Linked DNA regions of Callithrix jacchus. The protein of the gene in region 5 purifies or fractionates together with the protein of the main gene of each other region. This does not show direct contact. Links are inferred from orthologs where the notes say so. Each region holds a gene or a part of one and is shown on either strand. Other genes may lie near its edges. The genes, in order: PPP2CA, PPP2R2D, MAPK1, PPP2R2A and PTPDC1.

The links.
Region 1: the proteins of PTPDC1 (region 5) and PPP2CA purify together in Homo sapiens (affinity purification with mass spectrometry; 4 studies listed by BioGRID and IntAct, counting the BioPlex papers as one, with this or other methods). This does not show direct contact. The link is inferred for Callithrix jacchus from reciprocal best matches to the Homo sapiens genes PTPDC1 and PPP2CA.
Region 2: the proteins of PTPDC1 (region 5) and PPP2R2D purify together in Homo sapiens (affinity purification with mass spectrometry; 5 studies listed by BioGRID and IntAct, counting the BioPlex papers as one, with this or other methods). This does not show direct contact. The link is inferred for Callithrix jacchus from reciprocal best matches to the Homo sapiens genes PTPDC1 and PPP2R2D.
Region 3: the proteins of PTPDC1 (region 5) and MAPK1 purify together in Homo sapiens (affinity purification with mass spectrometry; 3 studies listed by BioGRID and IntAct, with this or other methods). This does not show direct contact. The link is inferred for Callithrix jacchus from reciprocal best matches to the Homo sapiens genes PTPDC1 and MAPK1.
Region 4: the proteins of PTPDC1 (region 5) and PPP2R2A purify together in Homo sapiens (affinity purification with mass spectrometry; 4 studies listed by BioGRID and IntAct, counting the BioPlex papers as one, with this or other methods). This does not show direct contact. The link is inferred for Callithrix jacchus from reciprocal best matches to the Homo sapiens genes PTPDC1 and PPP2R2A.

Annotation. Positions count from the first base shown.
Region 1 is NC_133503.1:74,102,603-74,106,881, reverse strand, and holds the start of PPP2CA (serine/threonine-protein phosphatase 2A catalytic subunit alpha isoform), read right to left. Parts: upstream 2,801-4,279; 5' UTR 2,584-2,800; coding exon 2,482-2,583; intron 1-2,481. UniProt on the Homo sapiens protein: Catalytic subunit of protein phosphatase 2A (PP2A), a serine/threonine phosphatase involved in the regulation of a wide variety of enzymes, signal transduction pathways, and cellular events.
Region 2 is NC_133513.1:125,247,068-125,250,582, forward strand, and holds part of PPP2R2D (serine/threonine-protein phosphatase 2A 55 kDa regulatory subunit B delta isoform), read left to right. Parts: intron 1-2,039; exon of another isoform or gene 2,040-2,211; intron 2,212-2,849; coding exon 2,850-3,027; intron 3,028-3,515. UniProt on the Homo sapiens protein: Substrate-recognition subunit of protein phosphatase 2A (PP2A) that plays a key role in cell cycle by controlling mitosis entry and exit. Involved in chromosome clustering during late mitosis by mediating dephosphorylation of MKI67.
Region 3 is NC_133502.1:193,829,244-193,833,213, reverse strand, and holds the start of MAPK1 (mitogen-activated protein kinase 1), read left to right. Parts: upstream 1-1,165; 5' UTR 1,166-1,377; coding exon 1,378-1,496; intron 1,497-3,970. UniProt on the Homo sapiens protein: Serine/threonine kinase which acts as an essential component of the MAP kinase signal transduction pathway. MAPK1/ERK2 and MAPK3/ERK1 are the 2 MAPKs which play an important role in the MAPK/ERK cascade.
Region 4 is NC_133514.1:15,258,888-15,263,072, reverse strand, and holds the start of PPP2R2A (serine/threonine-protein phosphatase 2A 55 kDa regulatory subunit B alpha isoform), read left to right. Parts: upstream 1-1,379; 5' UTR 1,380-1,690; coding exon 1,691-1,697; intron 1,698-3,539; coding exon 3,540-3,614; intron 3,615-4,185. UniProt on the Homo sapiens protein: Substrate-recognition subunit of protein phosphatase 2A (PP2A) that plays a key role in cell cycle by controlling mitosis entry and exit. Involved in chromosome clustering during late mitosis by mediating dephosphorylation of MKI67.
Region 5 is NC_133502.1:71,716,677-71,720,191, reverse strand, and holds part of PTPDC1 (protein tyrosine phosphatase domain-containing protein 1), read right to left. Parts: intron 3,253-3,515; coding exon 1,994-3,252; intron 1-1,993. UniProt on the Homo sapiens protein: May play roles in cilia formation and/or maintenance.

The DNA.
Region 1 (4,279 bases), on a different chromosome or scaffold from region 5:
ATTGTTGATGGGATAACAAAATAATGGCCTCAGGATTTTTTTTTTAGTAACAATGACTTCTCACAGTATACATCTACCTTTACTATTAAAGTCTTTCATTTAAATCAGGCATCTTTAGGTGGGTAGAAGGCTTTTTTATATTATCGTTCCTTCTTGTAAGTGAAGAAATTGCCAACTATTCTCAAACAACTATCTTTTCCTCCCAAAATACTACTATTATATGTTAATCAAAAAAATTAGCCCTCAATATTTTCAAAATTACTCTTTAGAAGGCAATCACACCAAAAAGCATATATGCACCTTTCACCCAGAGATGCCACTGGCACACAAATATAAACAGTGAGAGACAGCTTTTGTTTTACTAGAAAGACTTGAACAAAAAATATCAGTTCATGGGTTTCACATACCCAAAAACCTGTCTTCAAATTAATTTGGTTTGAATAAGCTCCTGAAAGTTGAAATAATTACAAGTTATAAACAGTATTAAGGTCGTATAATGATGTCCACCAAAAAGGACCCATTCCACGGAAACTTTTATCTAACATCTACTCTCAAATATTATTTCCATCTTTTTTGGCACTCAGAACTAAAATTTGCGTAAGCTGAGCAAGCAATGGAGATTTACTTCACTATATGTTAGTTTTACAAAGATGTGGAAAGTAATAACGATGCATTAGCTTCACCCACCCCACTTTAGCATCCAGTATTATCTTATTATCTTCCATAGTTTCCAACACAAACCCTCTACTTCCATGCTCTATCTCCCACACATTTCCATACCATGCTTTTCCTTCCAACTAGATTCATAGTTCCTCAACAATAAGCATACTTAGTCTTCATTTATTTTCATTCCGCTCAAAAGAGTATGCAATCTTGGAGCTTCAATAGGTGCTCAATATTAAACACACTACTAATTTAAAAAGGAATTGACTGTATAATCTCAGGCCAATTTTAAACCTTTAAAATAAATACCAACCTCATTTGATGTGAGGTTGGTAAAGAAACAGGAGATTCAATACCTTGCTACCATTAAAATACATCTCCAAGATGATGTGCTACCTCATCAACTAGTAGTAGTTTTGTTCATGCTTGGGAGAAATAAATCTAAATCCGACGTACTTAAATTCCAATTGTTCATAACATGGTTTCTAAAACATGGACACATACACCAAACTCATGAATCTAATTTTCACATCACACCACAAACAAATCAGGATAATAGTTCTCCATTAATTCTTTTCACTAATACAAAATGATAGTATGATACTCCACTATTCTGTACTAAAGTGACATACTGCAAAGTTATTTTTGAAAAGAGAAGTTTAAAAGTGTTCACAGCAGAGATCAGCATTTTTGTGTACTCTAGAAAACTGAGTTACAAGAATTTAAAAATGCAACATACAGCTAATAACTAAATTGGCTACCTGTTTCCCCAATCCCAGGGGAAAACAAAACAGAATTAGCTAATACAAAATATAAAATTTAAGTGTTATTAAGTGGACTACAACATTCTATTTTCAATGCATGTGAGACATTATTTAAACACTAAGCACAATGTTTGGAATACAATCTTAGTCGACAGTTATTACTAATACTACTACTTGCAACCACAAAATTCTATCAAGTTAACTTTTGCAACAAAGAGAAGATACAAAATTTACCGCTCTTCCATTTTGTTGATTTTTAAAATAAATGGCAAAATGCCAAGTGTGTTAAGCTTAGAGAAGGCTTTGAGTCAGCAAATAAATCATATTCAACTGACACTTGATTTCCAGTCCAAAAGCTCCTCATGTATTATGACTTACCAAATTCCCCATTTCTTCCAACTATGAAAAATAAGTTACACTCCTCCAACTACCATGACCTTCGTAGAAATTAGGTTAAGGGAATAATTTTAAAATTCTTAAAGACACCCTCACTTTGGTTTCTGGAGAAGACCGCTTGATGAGTTTAATACAAACCACCCAGGGGTACTAAAGATGTGTGACCTTTACATATGTTCTGGGATATGGCCTAACAAGACCGCCTTTGGGGACAGTACCTCTGGACAGCTTTGGACCTAACTAGGCCTTGGGTACAAGTGGAAAGCCTCTTAGCCCACCGGAGAAGTCTAGGTCCCATTCCCAGGCCGCAGAATCTAAGCCCGCTCACCCTCAAAACCGTCCCTGATGCTGACCCACAGGGTCTCCGCTCCCCCACCCCAGCCACTTCGTCTGGCGCCAAGGCCGGGAGACTCAAAAGCCCAAGACCCGGGTGAACGGCGCCATTTTAGGCGGCGTTGGCGGCGACAACCAATCCCTGCGCGGGAGGCAGGGGGCGCCGGGTCGTTCGGGTGCCGCCGCCGGCCGGGCTGGGCGCCGGTCTCGGTGACTCGGGGGGCCCGGGCCGGCGGCCTCCGCCATGTTGCACCCTCCTCACGGCCTCCCTTTCTTCGGCGGGGTCTGCCCCACGGCTGCTGCCTGAACCCAGACTACACCTCACCTTCTCGCAGAGGCTCTTGACCTGGGACTCGGACAGCTGCTTGCACTCGTTCAGCTGCTCGATCCACTGGTCCAGCTCCTTGGTGAACACCTTCTCGTCCATGATGCCTCCCGCCCCAGCCGGCTGTGGCTCCGCGCTGCTCCCGCGCCGCCGCCCGCACACGGGCCACACGCACACGCCGCCGCCGGCTCCTCGTGTACTTCTGGCGGCTGCTGAGGCTGGCGCTGGCCCGCTGGCTCTCACCGCAATACTCGGCCGTCGGCCGTTGCGCCTCCTCCTCCGCTCGCTCCGGCACCAGAGATCGGCTCTCTGTAATGGCGGCCGCCTGGCGTGGTGACGTCACGCCGGCGTTAGGAGGTGGCGGGGAGCGGACGGGAAAAGGGACCGGGAGCGAGCTGCGCAACTGCGATGCCCAGCCCCGGCGGCCGCACTACCGGAGTTGGGGGCGCTAACTGGGGGTCAAAGCGCAGGCGCGACTTAGCCGGCTGGTAACAGTCGCCTTCGCTTTTAGGGCGTGGCTCCCGGAGGGCGGGTGGTGGGGGAAGGGAAGGATGGAGTTTGAGCGTGCGCAATGCGCACAGCGGCGAACCGGACTAATCCCTTAGCGCTACGCCCCGAGAGGTGAGAGATTGGGCCACGCGCAGACGCAGACCGGATGGAAGTGGGGGTTACTGTCTGTCTGTAACTGGTTCCCCTGGGAAGGCTGTTCTGGTGATGAATTCAGCTCCTCGTCTGGGGCCCGGCAGTCGCGAGAATTGCGACCCCATGGCTCCTCCGGGGTGCAACAGCGCTGGAATTGTGTGGGTTTCCCGCATCTCGGGGGCAGGAATGGGCAGCGAGTGGCCGCCTGGTTGGAATAACCACCCCCACCTCTGGGCGCGGTTGGTGTAATTAGGTCACTCGTAGGTGGAGGAGCGAGTGCCTACCGTGGGAGTGCCGCGCAGTGCACCTGACTTCCCCGGCACACACCAGTCCCCTGACCTAGGTGTCTCGTCGGGCGCGATGGCGATGGCGAGGTTTGGGCTTTTCTTTGAGCCTCAAACCGCGGCTTGGTTCCAGGTGCACGGCTCCTCGCCGATGGTTGCTTTCCTCCAAGTTTGATTCCCCTTGGGAATGAGACCCTCAGCCCCTGCCCTCCCTGGCCTACTTTCTAGAGGAGAATCCCATAGAAGATGGATGCACCTGTCCTGACCGCGTCCCGATGGCGTTAGAAGCAGATGTGATCCGCGCTTTAAAGAGAGCTTGCATACCCTGGGATTGAATCTCTGTCTGGTTGTGAATCGCTTTGGAGTTTGCAAAACGTTTTCACATTCCATTGTCCCTGCTTTTACATACACATCTGGTTCCATAGAGCGCCAACTATGTGCCAGATCCAGAGGGGTAATCCAGACGGATGACCAGCCCTGGAGCTTGTATTCTCAACAGTATGGGCTAAATATGGTTTGGGATAGACAGAGATCATGATGCCCCCGAATTTGACAGATATAGAAGCTTTCCAAAGAACATTTAGCCATAAAGGGAAAGGCAAGAGCTGAACCTGGTCGCCTTTTCCAGGCGCCCCACCCTCAGTATCAGCCAACTCTTCCACACCAAGTGCTCAGCAGTGCTCGGAAGGAGAGTGCTCACTCTGCGGCTCTGAGGGCATCATCCCCACCAACAGGCTGAAGAAGGCACTGGAGGCCCCAGCAGCCAATAGCAAGACTGAAAATCCTCCTTTATCCAAGACAACCTGTTTGGCGAGGCCAACTGGCTTGGCCTCCTGGGCTGGAAATTGTTAATTCTGCTTTCCCTTCATACC
Region 2 (3,515 bases), on a different chromosome or scaffold from region 5:
TGAGTGGGTTGGTTGGTTGGTTAATAGGTTGGGTGGTTGGTTAATCAGTTGGGTGGTTGGTTGAGTGATTTGGTTGGGGTGGGTGGGTGGGTTGGTTAGTTGGTTAATGGTTGGGTGGGTGGTTGGGGTGGTTGGTTGGCTGGCTTTTAATGAGATTTCAGCCCCATTACACTATTGTTTATCAAGTGAAGACCGAGTGAGCAAGCCCATTCCACATTAGTCTTTGGAAGTGCCACACAGAAGGCCGCTGCTAACACACGTGCCCCTAGGAATGATGCTGGGTCTGTTCTGGTGCCATTTCTCCAGCTTTGCTGTGCAGGGCGGGTGCACCTGGGGTTAGGCACTCTCCAGGAGGAGTGTCCTCAGACCTGTCACATCCATACTACCGCTGTATTTCCTGAGTTCATCAAAGCTGGGAAGGGCTGTGGCATTTGCTGAAAATCTAGCTTATAGGGTCCTAATTTGAACCAGGATGTTTTCATCTAAATTGTGGGTGACGTCTGTCACACAGGACCGCTGCTCTTGCGTCCGTGGATTAGTGTATATTGTTCTTAGTGATAGTGACAGTAGCTATGCAGTTCCATCATGAAACTGCTAATCCTAAATGAGAAGTGAGATAGACACCCCGAGGGCGGGCACTGATTCTAAACTGGAAGTGATGGGACCCCAAGGGCGGGCACTGATTCTAAACTGGAAGTGATGGGACCCTGAGGGTGGGCACTGATTCTAAACTGGAAGTGATGGGACCCCGAGGGCGGGCACTGATTCTAAACTGGAGGTAGGTGATGGGACCCCGAGGGCGGGCACTGATTCTAAACTGGTAGTGATGGGACCCCAAGGGCGGGCACTGATTCTAAACTGGAGGTAGGTGATGGGACCCTGAGGGTGGGCACTGATTCTAAACTGGAAGTGATGGGACCCCGAGGGCAGGCACTGATTCTAAACTGGTAGTGATGGGACCCCAAGGGCGGGCACTGATTCTAAACTGGTAGTGATGGGACCCCGAGGGCGGGCACTGATTCTAAACTGGAAGTGATGGGACCCCAAGGGCGGGCACTTGACCTGCTCCAGCCTTGTCCATCTCTGCAGCCAGCAGCACCTCCCACCATCTCCCACGGGGTACATGTGCACAACCCACCCTCAGAAACCCCTGTTCCTCCTGATGGGACCCCGCCACCACCCTCAAGCTCACGTGCTTGTTTTGAGAAAACAGTAGGCCTTTATTAGGCCCAGTCTTGGTTTTATTTAAGGCTGCTTTTGTAGGTTTCGCCTAAATAAAACAGGTATAATAGGTGGCCCTACTGAAGGCATGTGAGAAGTGTAGTTATTTCATTAGTCAGTACTCGGAGAAGAGACCACAGACTACATAATTCTCTACATTGACTTAGGTCAGTATTTGAGATCTTACAGTTCAGAGTGGGCTGTTAATGCATTCTAACCCTAACTGGGGAAGAGTCAGAAATGTTGCTGCTTTTAAATTTTTTGTCTAAATCATTTTAGTGCCAGGAAAGGGATGTAATTAAAAGAAGGAGTCTTGGCCAGGCGCGGGGGCTCATACCTGTAATCCCAGCACTTTGTGAGGCTGAGATGGGAGGGTCACTTGAGCCCCGAAGTTCAAGACCAGCCTGGGCAACATAGCAAGACCCCATCTCTAAAAATGAAAACATATTATTTTGTATGTAAATGAAATTTTTTTTAAATAAAGGAAGGAATCTTTGTAAGTATCGTGTGTTTTGATTAATTGGAGGTTTGTTAGAGGATTGTGGCAGGTGTGTGTTTTTAAGCCTGGTAGACCTGACCCTTTCTCTAGAGACTCGAAGGGTGTGGTCAGCACTAACTGTGTTAAAATCAGGGAAGTCTCACTGTACATACTGTTTCAAGTTTATTTTCTATAAAATCAGCCAGACAAGACTCAGCTGAGAGATTTTTTTCCCCTAAGCTTTCACGGTTCTTCCTTTTGGTTTCTAATTACAAGAATAACTAAAGATCCTATCATTAATTTTTTTGTTTTGATTTTAAAGCTTATGCTTTTCTTCCAGCTGGATGTTAGTGAGATGCAGGCCCTTTTCCTTTTTTCACGTGTGATGCTATTCCTCGTGCCTGAGCTCTCGCCTCTGACCACAGGCGCCCTCCGGCCAGCACCCTCTTCTCTGTCCTTTCCATTTCAGTGTGATTGGAAATGGACTTTCCCAGCACTCAACACAGAAATGGGTACGGGAGGTACCTTTTACTTGTTTTAACCACAAATGAAGTATAATATATAATACATACCCCATAATAATACATGTGCCCCATAAGTGACCAGCTCCATTTGACTGGACATGCCCATATAGCCAGCCCCAGACTGAGACATGGAACATCCTCAGCTCCCCAGGGCCCTCCTGTGCACCCTCCTGTGCAGTCCCTGGAGCCGGCAGAGGCTTGTGGGGTTTGCTCCGAGAAGCATACTCCTGGTGCAGTGAGGGAGGGTTTGTGCATCCGGCTGCAAGGAGAGGACAAAGGGAGGGGAAGACTTTGCTGTCCAGCGTCTCAGTGTGGCCACTGGAGGACACACGAGAGGGAGCGAGCGCAGGCCTCAGCGCCCGGGCAGCTTGTTAGCCTGCCAGCTTTTTATTCAGCAGGAACATGTCAGCCTCAGCAATGGAAGCAAGGGGGAAGACTTGGAATAGAGTATTCCATTTTGTAGCCTATTTTCATAACTGCTAAGTGGTTACTTAGAGGTATTGCCTGTACGCAGTTCTTACTTAGCCATGGACGCAAACTTGTCCTCCTCTGTTATCTACTGTAAGTGTTTTAATTCTATGCCACTGCGATCTTTGTTTTGAATTCCTGTTTCCTTCCATTTTTAGGTCCCAATATTGAAGCCCATGGATCTAATGGTAGAAGCGAGTCCACGGCGAATTTTTGCAAATGCTCACACATATCATATAAATTCCATTTCAGTAAATAGTGATCATGAAACGTATCTTTCTGCAGATGACCTGAGAATTAATTTATGGCACTTAGAAATCACAGATAGAAGCTTTAGTATCCTTCCTCAGAGGGACACTGGCATCTTCCTTGAGGCTGCTCTTTAGATGGTGATTTCTCTTGTTCTTTACACGCCTGTATCTGAGTCTAGTCTCGTAAATGTCATTGCTGCACAGTGGCCTGCGATGTAAGTTCTCTGTGAATTGAAACATTTGTTCCTAAAAATACGGATTTCCTTCTACGTTTGGAAACAGTTCTCTGAAGTCCACTGCCTGCCTGGTTTAATCAGAGATAGTTTTAAATAGGCTGCATTTGAAAAACCAACATTACTTGTTCTTTTTTTATTTATTTTTTTTCCTGAATTTGCTGATGGATGATAGAAAATATTGGCTTAGGTTAGAGTGGCATTTAATCACCCATCTGAGCAGCAGCTTCCGGGAGAACCCGTGTTCTCCTGAGGCTGTGCATGGTCTGGGGGTCCTCGCCATCCTCACGTGGGCTCCTTTCTAGCTAGCAGCCAGGGAGCAGGGGGCATGTTTTGTCTG
Region 3 (3,970 bases), about 120 Mb from region 5:
TCAAGTAGCTGGGATTACAGGCATTCACCACCTCGCCTGGCTAGTTTTTATATTTTAATAGAGACGGGGTTTCACCATATTGTCCAGGCTGGTCTTGGACTCCTGACCTCGTGATCTGCCCACCTCGGCCTCCCAAAGTGCTGGGATGACAGGCGTGAGCCACCGTGCCTGCCTTTAATTTTTGTATTTTTAGTGGAGACCTGGCTCTCAAACTCCTGACCTCAAGTGATCCGCCCGCCGAGGCCTCCCAAAGTACTGGGATGATAGGTGAGAGCCACCGCGCCCTCCCTTCTGCTTTATATTTCTTCACAGTACTTACCACAGCTTGAGTATTAAATGTATTTGTCTGGCCGGGCGCCGTGGCTCATGCCTGTCATCCCAGCACTTTGGGAGGCTGAGGCAGGCGGATCACTTGAGGTCGGGAGTTCGACAGCAGCCGGACCAACATGGTGAAACGCTGTCTCTAAAAAATAAATTAATTAAAAACAAACAAGTAAATAAATAAACGCTGTCTCTAATAAATAAATAAATAAATAAATAAATGTCTCCTCTCTCTAAAATGTAACTTCTATGAGGGTGGATCCCCAGGAACATAGAGTGTGGTCAACAAACATCTGAGCTAAGCTCTGATTCTCCTATCCTCTCAGTGTCTCCTTTTAATCTAGACAATTGTGCTTCTCACTTTCTCAGTATGGAAATATCTTTCTCAGTCTGGGTCATGTCTTTCGGTTTCTGCCCCAGTGCCAACGCCTCTTAGTTTATCAGCGTGTGGGCCACGGATTAGCAGAGGCCTGAGCTGTGGCGCCGCCGGGCTACGGCGCGTCGTCAAGCCTCAGGCACAGCTCCGAGCCCTCGCTGGTTCTGTTAGGACCCTGCTCCGGCGCGGGCCCCGGCCACATGTCACTTCAGTCCCATAGGTTCTGCCCCACGTCTGTCTCCCTGAGTCTCTCAAGAGCCGAGTCCCGCGCCTCCGACCCCGCGAATACACGTGACCACGCCCGGGGGTGGCCCCTCAGTCAACGCAGCCGCAGTGCCCCACCCCGAGCCCGTCGCTTCCGCCGGCCCGCCTGGCCCCGCCCCATCCACGAAGAACCAATCTGCACGCACGTTGCTTGGCCCCCTCCCCGGCACTCTCCTCGGCGCGCGCCCCTCCCTCCGCCCGCCCGTCTGTCTGGCAGGCAGGCAGGCAGGCAGTCGGCTCGAGCGGCTGTGGGCTCTTCAGGTCTCCCCCCCGGCGTCTTCCTTCCTCCTCCCGGTCAGCGGCGGCGGCTGCTCCGGCGGCGGCGCGGTCCCTTCGGGAGGGGCGACAGGAGCCGAGCGGCGGCCGCGGAGCGTCGAGTCCAGTGCGGCGGAGGCGGCGGCGGCCCGGCAACCAACATGGCGGCGGCGGCGGCGGCGGGCGCGGGCCCGGAGATGGTCCGCGGGCAGGTGTTCGACGTGGGGCCGCGCTACACCAACCTCTCGTACATCGGCGAGGGCGCCTACGGCATGGTGTGGTGAGTGTCCGTGCCTGGCCACGCCCGACCTCCCCACCACCGGGGGCCGCGGCGGACGCAGCCTCGGCCTCGCCCGTGCCTCGGCCTCGGCAGCCGCGGCGACCTCGAACCCGGACTTCACCGCGGTCCGCGCGCCGGGACTCGGGCGGTGCCCCGGGCCGATTGAGACCCGGGCCCGCGGTCGCTCGGGAAGGGGCGCAGGGAGTGGCGTGGGGGGCGGAGGCCGGAGGCCGGAGGCTGGGTCTCGGGCCCAGGGCGCAACGCGGCCTTTAAAGTCTGGACCCTCGGGAAGGCAACGGAAGCGCCCCCACTCCTCAATTTGCTAACATCATGGCTTGCTTGATTGTAAACTGGGAATTCCATCAGATGCTTGTCGGTGTTGGCGGCGGCTGCTGAGGTCCTGAAAGCGATTTGTCTCCGCGTGTGTGCAGAACACCAAAATAGTCATTTTTTTTCTACTCGCCTTTGCAGCCAACGGCTTTGATTAAATATCCTCAGCGGTGCTAATGGTGGTCTGCGCGCAGGCTTTATAAAATGCATTGCTGACAGCAGTGTTATTTCCGTCTTGAAGTTTTTACTTTAAAGTGGATTTTAATATCACACTATTGGCGTTTCAGGAAGGTTAACTCAGCCTCAGTTTCTTGATTTATTAAAGATCCGTTTAGAGTTGGGCCTAATTTGACTTTTTTTTTTTTTTTAGTCCCCTAGTGAGCTCTTTTACCAGCATAAATGCTCCCAGATGTTTTAGCCCAATTGCTGTGGACTTTAGTGGTCAATAAGTATGCAGCCTTTCTGGAGTTTTTGCAAAATCACATGTAGGCTCCCTCATCTTGATTTAGGTCCCTTAGAAAAGTGAAGTGATGGTGACTGTATTGTTTTTATTAGAGCAAACTAGCTGTAACATTTTGTGCTGGTGAAGACTTGTGGAAGTAGATTCCCTTAAATCACAGTGTCTTTTGTGTTGACCGAAGGAATTAAACCGATATTTTATTGAGCACTTCATGGTAGGTACTGTGCAACATACATGATTTCATTTTATTTGAACAGCCACATTGAAGGAGGAAAAGATGGTGTTATTCCTTTTTTCAGGTGAGAAGGTATTTCAGGTGATAAAGTATTTTGAGGTGAAGTTCAGGATGAGGTAATAGAACTAAAGAGTTATTCTTAAGATTGTAGAGTGAGATTCTACTTCACACACCACACCTCTTTTCAGCTGTTTTTAGGAAAACACCCTGCTTTCCTTAGGGTAATTAATAATTGCAGAATTTTGTGTATTTCACTGTTATAAAGTAAATGTAAGTCTATTTCAGAAGTGTATTCAGATTTCAATCGTCATAATTTTAGAAATGCAATAGAAGGCATGTTTTGCCAAGTATTGCAGCTAGATAGAAAGATTACTTAAAATTTTTTTAAAGAGACTTTAATTGAATCTTTCATATTTTCACTTTTTTTTTTTTGAGATGGAGTCTCGCTCTGTTGCCCAGGCTGGAGTGCAGTGTCAAGATCTCTGCTTACTGCAACCTCTGCCTCCCAGGTTCAAGTGATTCTTCTGCCTCAGCCTCCTGAGTAGCTGGGATTACAGTATTTTCACTTTATTTAGGCGCAAAATGCTGAATACAATTGTAAAAATTAACATGAACTCACAGGTTTAGGAGCCAAGAGAGAATTTAAATTAGGTCGAGCCTAAAAGAAATAAGGCCCTAAAGCCAGGCGGGGTGGCTCAAGCCTGTAATCCCAGCACTTTGGGAGGCTGAGGGGGGTGGATCACAAGGTCAAGAGATCGAGACCATCCTGGTCAACATGGTGAAATCCCGTCTCTACTAAAAATACAAAAAAATTAGCTGGGCATGGTGGCGCGTGCCTGTAATCCCAGCTACTCAGGAGGCTGAGGCAGGAGAATTGCCTGAACCCAGGAGGCGGAGGTTGCAGTGAGCCGAGATCGTGCCATTGTACTCCAGCCTGGGTAACAAGAGCGAAACTCCGTCTCACACACACAAAAAAGAAATAAGGCCCTAAAAAGTAATGGAGAGGAAGTATTGCCAATAACATCATTTCTGTACCATACATCTCACTGTTGTTGCACTCACTGGGAAGTGTGCCCGTGAACGTGTCTCATTATGAGAGGCTCAGAATTTCCCATCATGTCCTTTGGCCCTTTTAACAAAATTAACTTATCTAAAATGTGGACTGAAAAAAGTCTTTTAAGTTTAGGACACATCACTTGAAAAGATACCCCCATCTGATAAGGTTTCCCCTATCTGATAAGGTTTTTACTAGTCTGAAGTTTAGATCTGGGAACTAATTCTGTCAACTGCTGTAGGCTCGTTTGACCTTCTGACTCTCCGTTTGAATGCTAGGTCCTCTTATTATGATTTTCCTTTCTAACTAAAACACAAATGCAAATATAATTGGGTATTTGAATCCTAGATTCAAATTATAGCCTTTTATCAGGTTGATGACATACCCTATTAACC
Region 4 (4,185 bases), on a different chromosome or scaffold from region 5:
TCTTGGTCTCCAAACGCCTTTCTCACTCCATTCAGCCTTAGGCCAAATTCTGGATGCTTTTGCAGGTGGTCTTCATGTGTAAAATGTGCATATCTATCTCCTAGGAGTATTGTGGAGATGGAATGAGATATGTAAAGTGTGCCGTATATAGCAACTGCATCATTAGAGCATCTTTCAGCAGAAGTGCACATCCCCTCTTAGCTGATGACTGGCATTTCCTGTTCATTTTTTTCCTTCTACCTCTTAACCTTACTGACGATGCTTTCAATACAAATCTAATAATAACGGCAACTAACATTTATCATGTGCTCAAATTAAGTCATTTCATCTCACCAACAATCCTATCAGGTAGGACTGTCATCTTCATCTGCTGAGCCTTGGAATCACATTAGACAGCCTGGCTTCAGAGCCCAGCTTTTTTTTTTGGTTTGGTTTAGATTTGAAAGGAATGCATTCTGTCGCCCAGGCTGACAGCTCACTGCAGTCTTGACCTGCTGGGCTCAAGCAGTTCTCCCACCGCAGCCTCCTGGTAGCTGAAACTATAGGCACGCCATCATACCTGGCTAATTAAAAAAAAAAAAAAAAATTATTTCTTTTTTTGGTAGAGATGGGTCTCCCTATGTTCTCCAGGCTGAACTTGGAACTCCTGGCCTCAAGTGATCCTCCCGCCTCTGGCTTCCAAAGTGCTGGCACTACAGGCCTGAGCCACCGCGCCCCACCCTGAGCCCAGCTCTTAAGCACGGATTCCACCATTGTTTATTTAGCTGGAGAGACCCAAGCTACTTCTCGGGCCATACCCTTCTCATCGCAAACTCAGGTTTCTGTTAGAAACCACCCTTAGTGGCCGCAGTGCCCAGGACTCCCGTCTTGGTTCCTGGGGCCCACGCGAAGGTCATTTAATTCACCCAGATGGAACCAGCCCAAGCGTGTCCCTCTGAACCCCGTGAACTTTCATCCCGGCTGAGCAGCGAGTCTGCACTGCTGTCCCTTCCTTTGTGGAGTCAGGGCTGGCGCAAAGCGACACTTTCCTAAGTAGCAATACGGGTATTCTCAAAAAAGGCACAAGACCCCAAGAATTCCTGCAGACGAGCACGTTAACTGGACAGCTGAGCCCGCCCCAGAGCCCCGGCGCTAGCGCGAGGGGCTGGGACACCGCGAGGCGCAGACAGCCGCGGCCCGGCGCAGGAGGAACGGGCAGAGGGGGCGCCACCGCGAGACGCGGGCGCGTCACAGGCCGCACCGGCCAGGACGCGGAGGGCGGGGCAAGAGCGCAGCAGGAAGGGGGCGTGGTCAGGAGCCCGCCCGGCCTCTCCCCCGCCCCTCCCCCTCTGCTCTCCGCCCAGCCCGGCGGCTCCGCCCCCTTGGTGACGTCACTGACCAGGCCAGCCGGCGCCATTTTGAAAGTGGAGTCGCCTGCCCCTGCCGCTGCCGCCGCCGCCGTCGCTGTCGTAGCCGCCGCCGCCGCTGCCGGAGAAAGAGCACGAGCGGGGAAGCCCTAGAGTGAAATCTAGCATCCTGCCGGCTGCTCTGCCCGCCCCTCCTTCCTTTTCCCCCAGCCCCTGTCCCCTCCCCCCGCAGGTGCCATCCGCCGCCATCCGCCCTCTCTACCCCCCCATCCCCAGGTGAGGGGGGTGAGTTCAGGAAGCGGAGACCCCGAGGAACCCCGCAGGGTCACCATTTGCAGCGCAACATGGCAGGTAAAGGAGAAATTCCCCTTGCCCCCTGACAAGGCACCGTTTCCTTCTTCCTCCCTCCATCACCCCCTAGCGACCGCCCGCGCCTTGCGCGGAGCCACGGGGCGCCCCTCGGGTTTGAGGGAGTGGGGTCCAGGGGGGTGGGGTGGAGGCGGGGAGGACTCCGGGGAGGCGAGTGGTCGCGGCGAGAGCCACTGGGCTTGGAGAACGGAGCTGGCGCCGTGGCGGGGGTGGGGGTGGGGTGTGCCGGCGAGCTTGGGGTGAGGCGTGGGTGGGGCGGGGTGGGGGCGCGTGCAGATTTGTCTCTCCCGCTCGGGAGCCGGGTGGATCCTCTCCTACCTCGCCCCCCGTCTTTATTTTCATTTTATCCTGCAGGTCTTCATTTAATTTCTATTTCCCCCCCTGCTGCAAACCTTCTTGGGTGTATATACACATTATTTTGCACTGAGAAAGAAGAGCGCCTTACAAGTTAAAATGCAGTGGGGCCATATGTGTCTTTTTTTTCCCCCACTGTGGATGCCAATATTTTTGAGATTGGAAGCCTAAATTTTTTGTTTCAAACCATTTCCTTTCCGTTTCTTTCCCTCTTACCACCGAAGAGTGCAAGGCCTTTCATGTACAGCAAGTTGCATGAAAAACATAATTTCAACTTTCCGTTTAACATGTTAGCTTTTTTGCAGATGTCCTTTTCCCAAAAGGGTTTGGTAGAGTTAGTTAAAATAGTTGCGGAGTTCAGAGATATAAATAGCAAAGAGGAGAGAGATTTAGGTAGAAGCTTTGGAGGGGGGGGGAAAGGATGTAGAGAGAAAACCAGTTTGGAAATAAATTTAGCAAGGAATAGGGGTGACAGGGGAGAGAGAAGTAATGTAATTGCTTTGAGAATTCTTTTTGTACATGTTGGTGTTGCTAAGTCTTTTCCTTCATGTAGTAGAATGGGTTCCAGATTTAGATTCAGTGTCTTTCTCCCTAGAGTCTCAGGACGTTTTCACCATTTCGTTCTCAGTACTTGCACGTGAAATAGAAACATTCCGAGATTAGACCAGTTTACCGTGCTGTATTCATTACTTAGAGAATTAAACCATTTGAAAAAGTTAACGTGTCGGATTGACTTACGGTTTGCTATAAAACAAGTTGCTTGTTGGCCGTGTTTAATGATGAAATGAGATTAAAATTGTTTTGCACGAGATGACATACTAGCGAAATGAATTATTTGCCAGGTCCTTCGGAGTGGAGGGCTGAGGTGAAGGGAGGCAGAACAGGCTTCCTTTGACAGTCTCTTTAGCAGCATTCATTTTGGTTTCTTTTCCTCTCTGTCTGGAGCCAGTGATTTGCTGGTAATGAATGCAAAGAAATGGGTGTAGTGTTTGCTGTGTGTGCACTTTGGTGATAGGGTTCATATGAATCATTACTCCTCACCCAGGCAGTAATGTTCCCGAAGTTTTCTCTCCGTTCTATGTTTCATGGTAGTTTAACCTTATTAACTCTTCTGCAGGTTTTTTGTACACTTAAAAAGAAAACTCTTTAACTCTTGGTATTTACACTTTTCTGGTAGGTCTTGCCTGAGTGTAAGCCTTTTAAGATATTTGAGAGGAAGGGAAGTTTGTGAACAGATGTATGATGACCACAGAACATACGCCTTTAAAGATTTCATACCTGGAACCTTTTTTTCTTTTTAATACAGTACTAACTATTGGGGACTAACCTTTTTCCAAAGTGGTGCTTTTGGTGGTGGTTGTATGTGTGGGCAAAACTAAGCTGTTAGTGTCATGATCATGCCAACCGTGGATTGTTTACGAGAGTCAACATGAGCAGAACTCAGTTTTAATTGGTATGTTTTCTTTCCAGGAGCTGGAGGAGGGAATGATATTCAGTGGTGTTTTTCTCAGGTGAAAGGAGCAGTAGATGATGATGTAGCAGAAGGTAAGAAAGCATTTAATAATGCAAAATTTGGATATATAATTTTTTCAGAAATCTTTCCTGAGGGATTTCCTTGAAGCCAAGACTATTAAAAATTCAAGATGATTTTGTGTTTATTGTCCAAGAAATGTAAGAACAGTTTTAAAAGTTACGTTTCTGAAATACAGCCTTAAGTTTCTTTTGTAATTTATGCCTTGTTTTTATTTTTTACTCTGAATTTACGTGAAAGGAGCGATAGATGATTAGACATATAGAATCGTCACATGAAAGCTCTGAGCTCCATATAAGGGTTTCTTTGTTATATAAATTCCACATAGAAATAAATGGTGATGCATTTTTGTGTTTGTACATTGTTTTTAGATAAGTAAATTGAAATAGGTGCCATCAACATTTGGCTCAGAAACATTCTTAGCAGCATCTCTAATTTTTATGGGAAGATTCTTAACCTCTCTTGACTTTGCCTGCTGTGGAATGTAGTGCTGATTGGCATAGTCTGTGAAGAGATGACAGCTCACATTATTCATTTTGTTGTCTTTCTGGTAATTAGGTGGATAAGACAGTAACTGCTATGCAT
Region 5 (3,515 bases):
AAAGGGGGTATTCATCATATCCAGTTCTGCCTCACTCCACAGTCTGTGCTGCTTCTGCTACACCACAAGGACCCTGGTTTCTCTTTATTATGTTATGAATACGCTAATACTTTGTTATTCATAGTCCTTCCTGTTGCACAGATCATGTATGTAACAAAGCTCTTTATTCAATCTTATGAAGAAGACAAGCTGGGCAGAACTGACATTACTCAAAAACCCTCCTAGCAAAATGGCTATCTATCATGATATTTCCTGAGGCTTTCCAGTGAGGTTAGCCAAGAATCCTGGGATAATGGAAAGTGTTAAACACATGAGCTGTACCCTAACTCTGCCACATGTATGCCATATGACCCTGAGCAAGTCACTTACCCTCTAACCTCTGTGACCTTTAGTATCCCCATCTGTGATACTGAATTCTTAAGATTAACAAGAATGTAGAAATAGTATCATCTGCCTCACAGATACGTTCTCTAACTGTGAAAAATCACCTGAAATAATACATGTGAGATGGTTGTGTACAGGCTTAGGTACCATTATGCCATTCAAATCATGTTCACTTTATTCTTTTCCAGAATTCAACTTATTGTTTTGATTACTAAAAGTCCTAAAATAAAATATAGAAATGAAAAACTCTCCTGATAAAAGGCCTGTGTTCACCTCCAGAAAATGCTTTCATATATGCTACATACAGTCTGGCCCAAACCAAGTCCTGAATTCTTCATCACCACAGGCAGAGCGCACATGGGCACTGCGGCTGACCCAGGAGTGGGGGTGCAAGATTTTCATCTAAAACGGAAGACTCTCTTGCTTGCTAACTCTTAACACACTGTAATGCCCAGGAAACATTTGCTGACTGAATGACTTTTTCAGTTTGGAGTAGGAAATAAAATAATTCATTTTGGGAGAAAGCAATACATTTAACTATTGGATAGGCGAAACACAATTCTGAGGAACACAATTTTTATCAAAAGTTCTCTCATCATATAGTTATCAGTTAGTGTGAAGCTCTAAATTTTCATGCCTCTGTATCTGAAGAGATACTGACACTCAGAAATTTTATATGCCTTGTTTAATCAATGGCAGACTATGAAAGCAAGCTATTAAAATAACTCACAGTAGATAACCTGCCTGCCTGGGGTGGTGACCAACCTGGGCTCAAAAGTCAAGATTTCAGTGTCCAAGTCACTTGGACTTGCTGACAACTGTCCAAGTCAGCCTCCTTTTGGGGTAGTCTGGCTGTTTCTGATAGCTAGGTTTATGAGGCCTATCTTTTCTCTAGACCAAGTGCTGATTCAGAGCAAAGAAAGTGTGACTGACTTAAAACTGTACCCTAGTAAAAGTACAACACAAAAAAAGAGTTAAAAATTTATATTCTAATTGAAGTAAAAGCTAAGAAATGGACCCCAAAGACCCTAAAGTGAATGGCACGCAGTAATCTGTGGTTCCTCCCACTTGCTCTCCTGATTTCCCATAGTTGCCTGATTAGAGCAGGATTGGCAAGTCTGAAGGAGAGGATGCCAAGGAGACAGCCTCACTCTTCTGACCTTGCTCAGCACTAGTGCTGATGAGCTTTGGAAAATAACTATTTTATTTATGTCTCTAGCTCAGTGGTTCTCAAAGTATGGTTCCCTCTGCCAGGCCTCAGGTTAAAGATGCTTCAAGTGAGTTTCTAATGCTGTCTGTTGTGGGCCAGTTGCCTCCACAGACCCAGCAAGAAAGTAGAAAGCTACCAATATCAATGCCTTGTGCGGGTCAAGCATCGTGCTAAGTGCTTTCCTGCATATGCAGATTTAAATGAAACCACACAAACACCCTGTGACTTTTCTGTAACATCAGGTTCGCATCACAGATGAGAAACCTGAAGTTAGAAAGTTAAGTATTATGCAAATGTATCTTCATATTTCACTTGGGAAGTTTGAGAAAATGTATTTCACTTTTGCTCTGACATAAATATTTCCCACATAACTATAATTAAATAAAGTACTAATAATACCTGCCACATTTCTACCTTCCTTTTTAGTTCCTCTTTTTCTATAGATTCGTTTAAATTTGCTAGGGCTTTGGCCGCCAGTATTCTTCTTGCTTCAACACTCAATTCAGATTGCAATGTAGAGTGTGAAGCTGCTTCAGACAGATCTTTACTGTCCTGGATTTCATGTTCAACCAAGAACTGTGTTTTGGGCCTGGAGCCACAGTCCAGAGGGCTTCGGGGAGTCGTGCTGTTCTGCCTGACAGCACCAGGGCTCCCAACACCATGAGTTTTACACTGACAGTGAGACACTTGCTGGTGAGTAGGGTTTGGATCCTTATGGACATTTGAGAAGTTGGGTGAAACGGGCTCCCCAGGGCTGTTTGAGCCTGAAACATCTGCAGAGAAAGCTCCACTCTGCTGTGCTTCCTTTGGAATGAGCCCTCCATGGAAAATTGGTGACCCATTATCTTTGAGTCCTTTCAGGCCTCCAAACATAGACTGACTCCAGAAAGAAAGTGTGCTGCGAACCAAGGCTTCCTTATGTAAGTCTGGTTCTGGAGACTGTGGGACATAACAATGGCTTATGAGCTTCTGCTGCCTGGGGTGACGACCAACCAAGACCTGGGCAGGCACTGTCCGTGGAGTCTCCCCTTGCTCCAGAAGGTTCTCGGCCCTCTTTAAATCTGAGTCACTGTAGCTGAGCCGCCTTTTTAGATGAGTCAGGGGTTGAAGGCACTCAACATTCCGCCTCTTCCAAAGGGGGTCAAACTCTTGCTCATTGGAGAAAACCACGTCTCGATTGTCAAAATCTGCTGCCACTGCAGTGGGGTTAGACGGGTTGGACACATCACTGCTAGGCCTCAGTAACTCTGTATCCAGCTGCATGGTGACCATCTCAGACATGGTCTTTTCTATTTCAGCAGAGAGACCAGGTCCTTCGGACACATCCTTCATCATCACTGGCCTGTTCTCAGCTAAGTCTAGCAGCAATTTGCAAACTAGGTGGATAATTTTTGGCACGTGTTTCAGAAGTCTTGCCTCATAACCATGAAGCAGATGACGCTGGCGAATTAGATATTGAGCTAAGGTGACAGCATGTGCTTTGGGATCACAGCAAGAGAATATATTGCGGAGAGGAGTTAGAAACTGAGTAAATTCCCTTACACAGAGGAGCTGTCCTCTGGTTTGTATGGAATTGGGTCGTTTTGCCCGCACAAACATAATTGCTTGGTCAGCAGTCATTCTTGTTGCAAAAACTAAGTAACAGGCTATTAGAACACCTAAACAGTGAAGAAGAGAAGACTGGTATGAGAAAAGCTTACATTTTTATTCAGTTTATCACTCCTTGATGATTTAAAATTTGAGTATGTGTTAAGAAACCATATAAATAGAGACGCACTTTAAGGACAATTATGATGATAACTTAATGACTTTTTGTAGAGGTATTATTATTATATGCTCCTTACTGCATAGAACTTTATTAAATGTCTATATGGCACCCCCTCCCCATAACTGAGTCATCTCAGTAGCCCAGAGCTGTGCC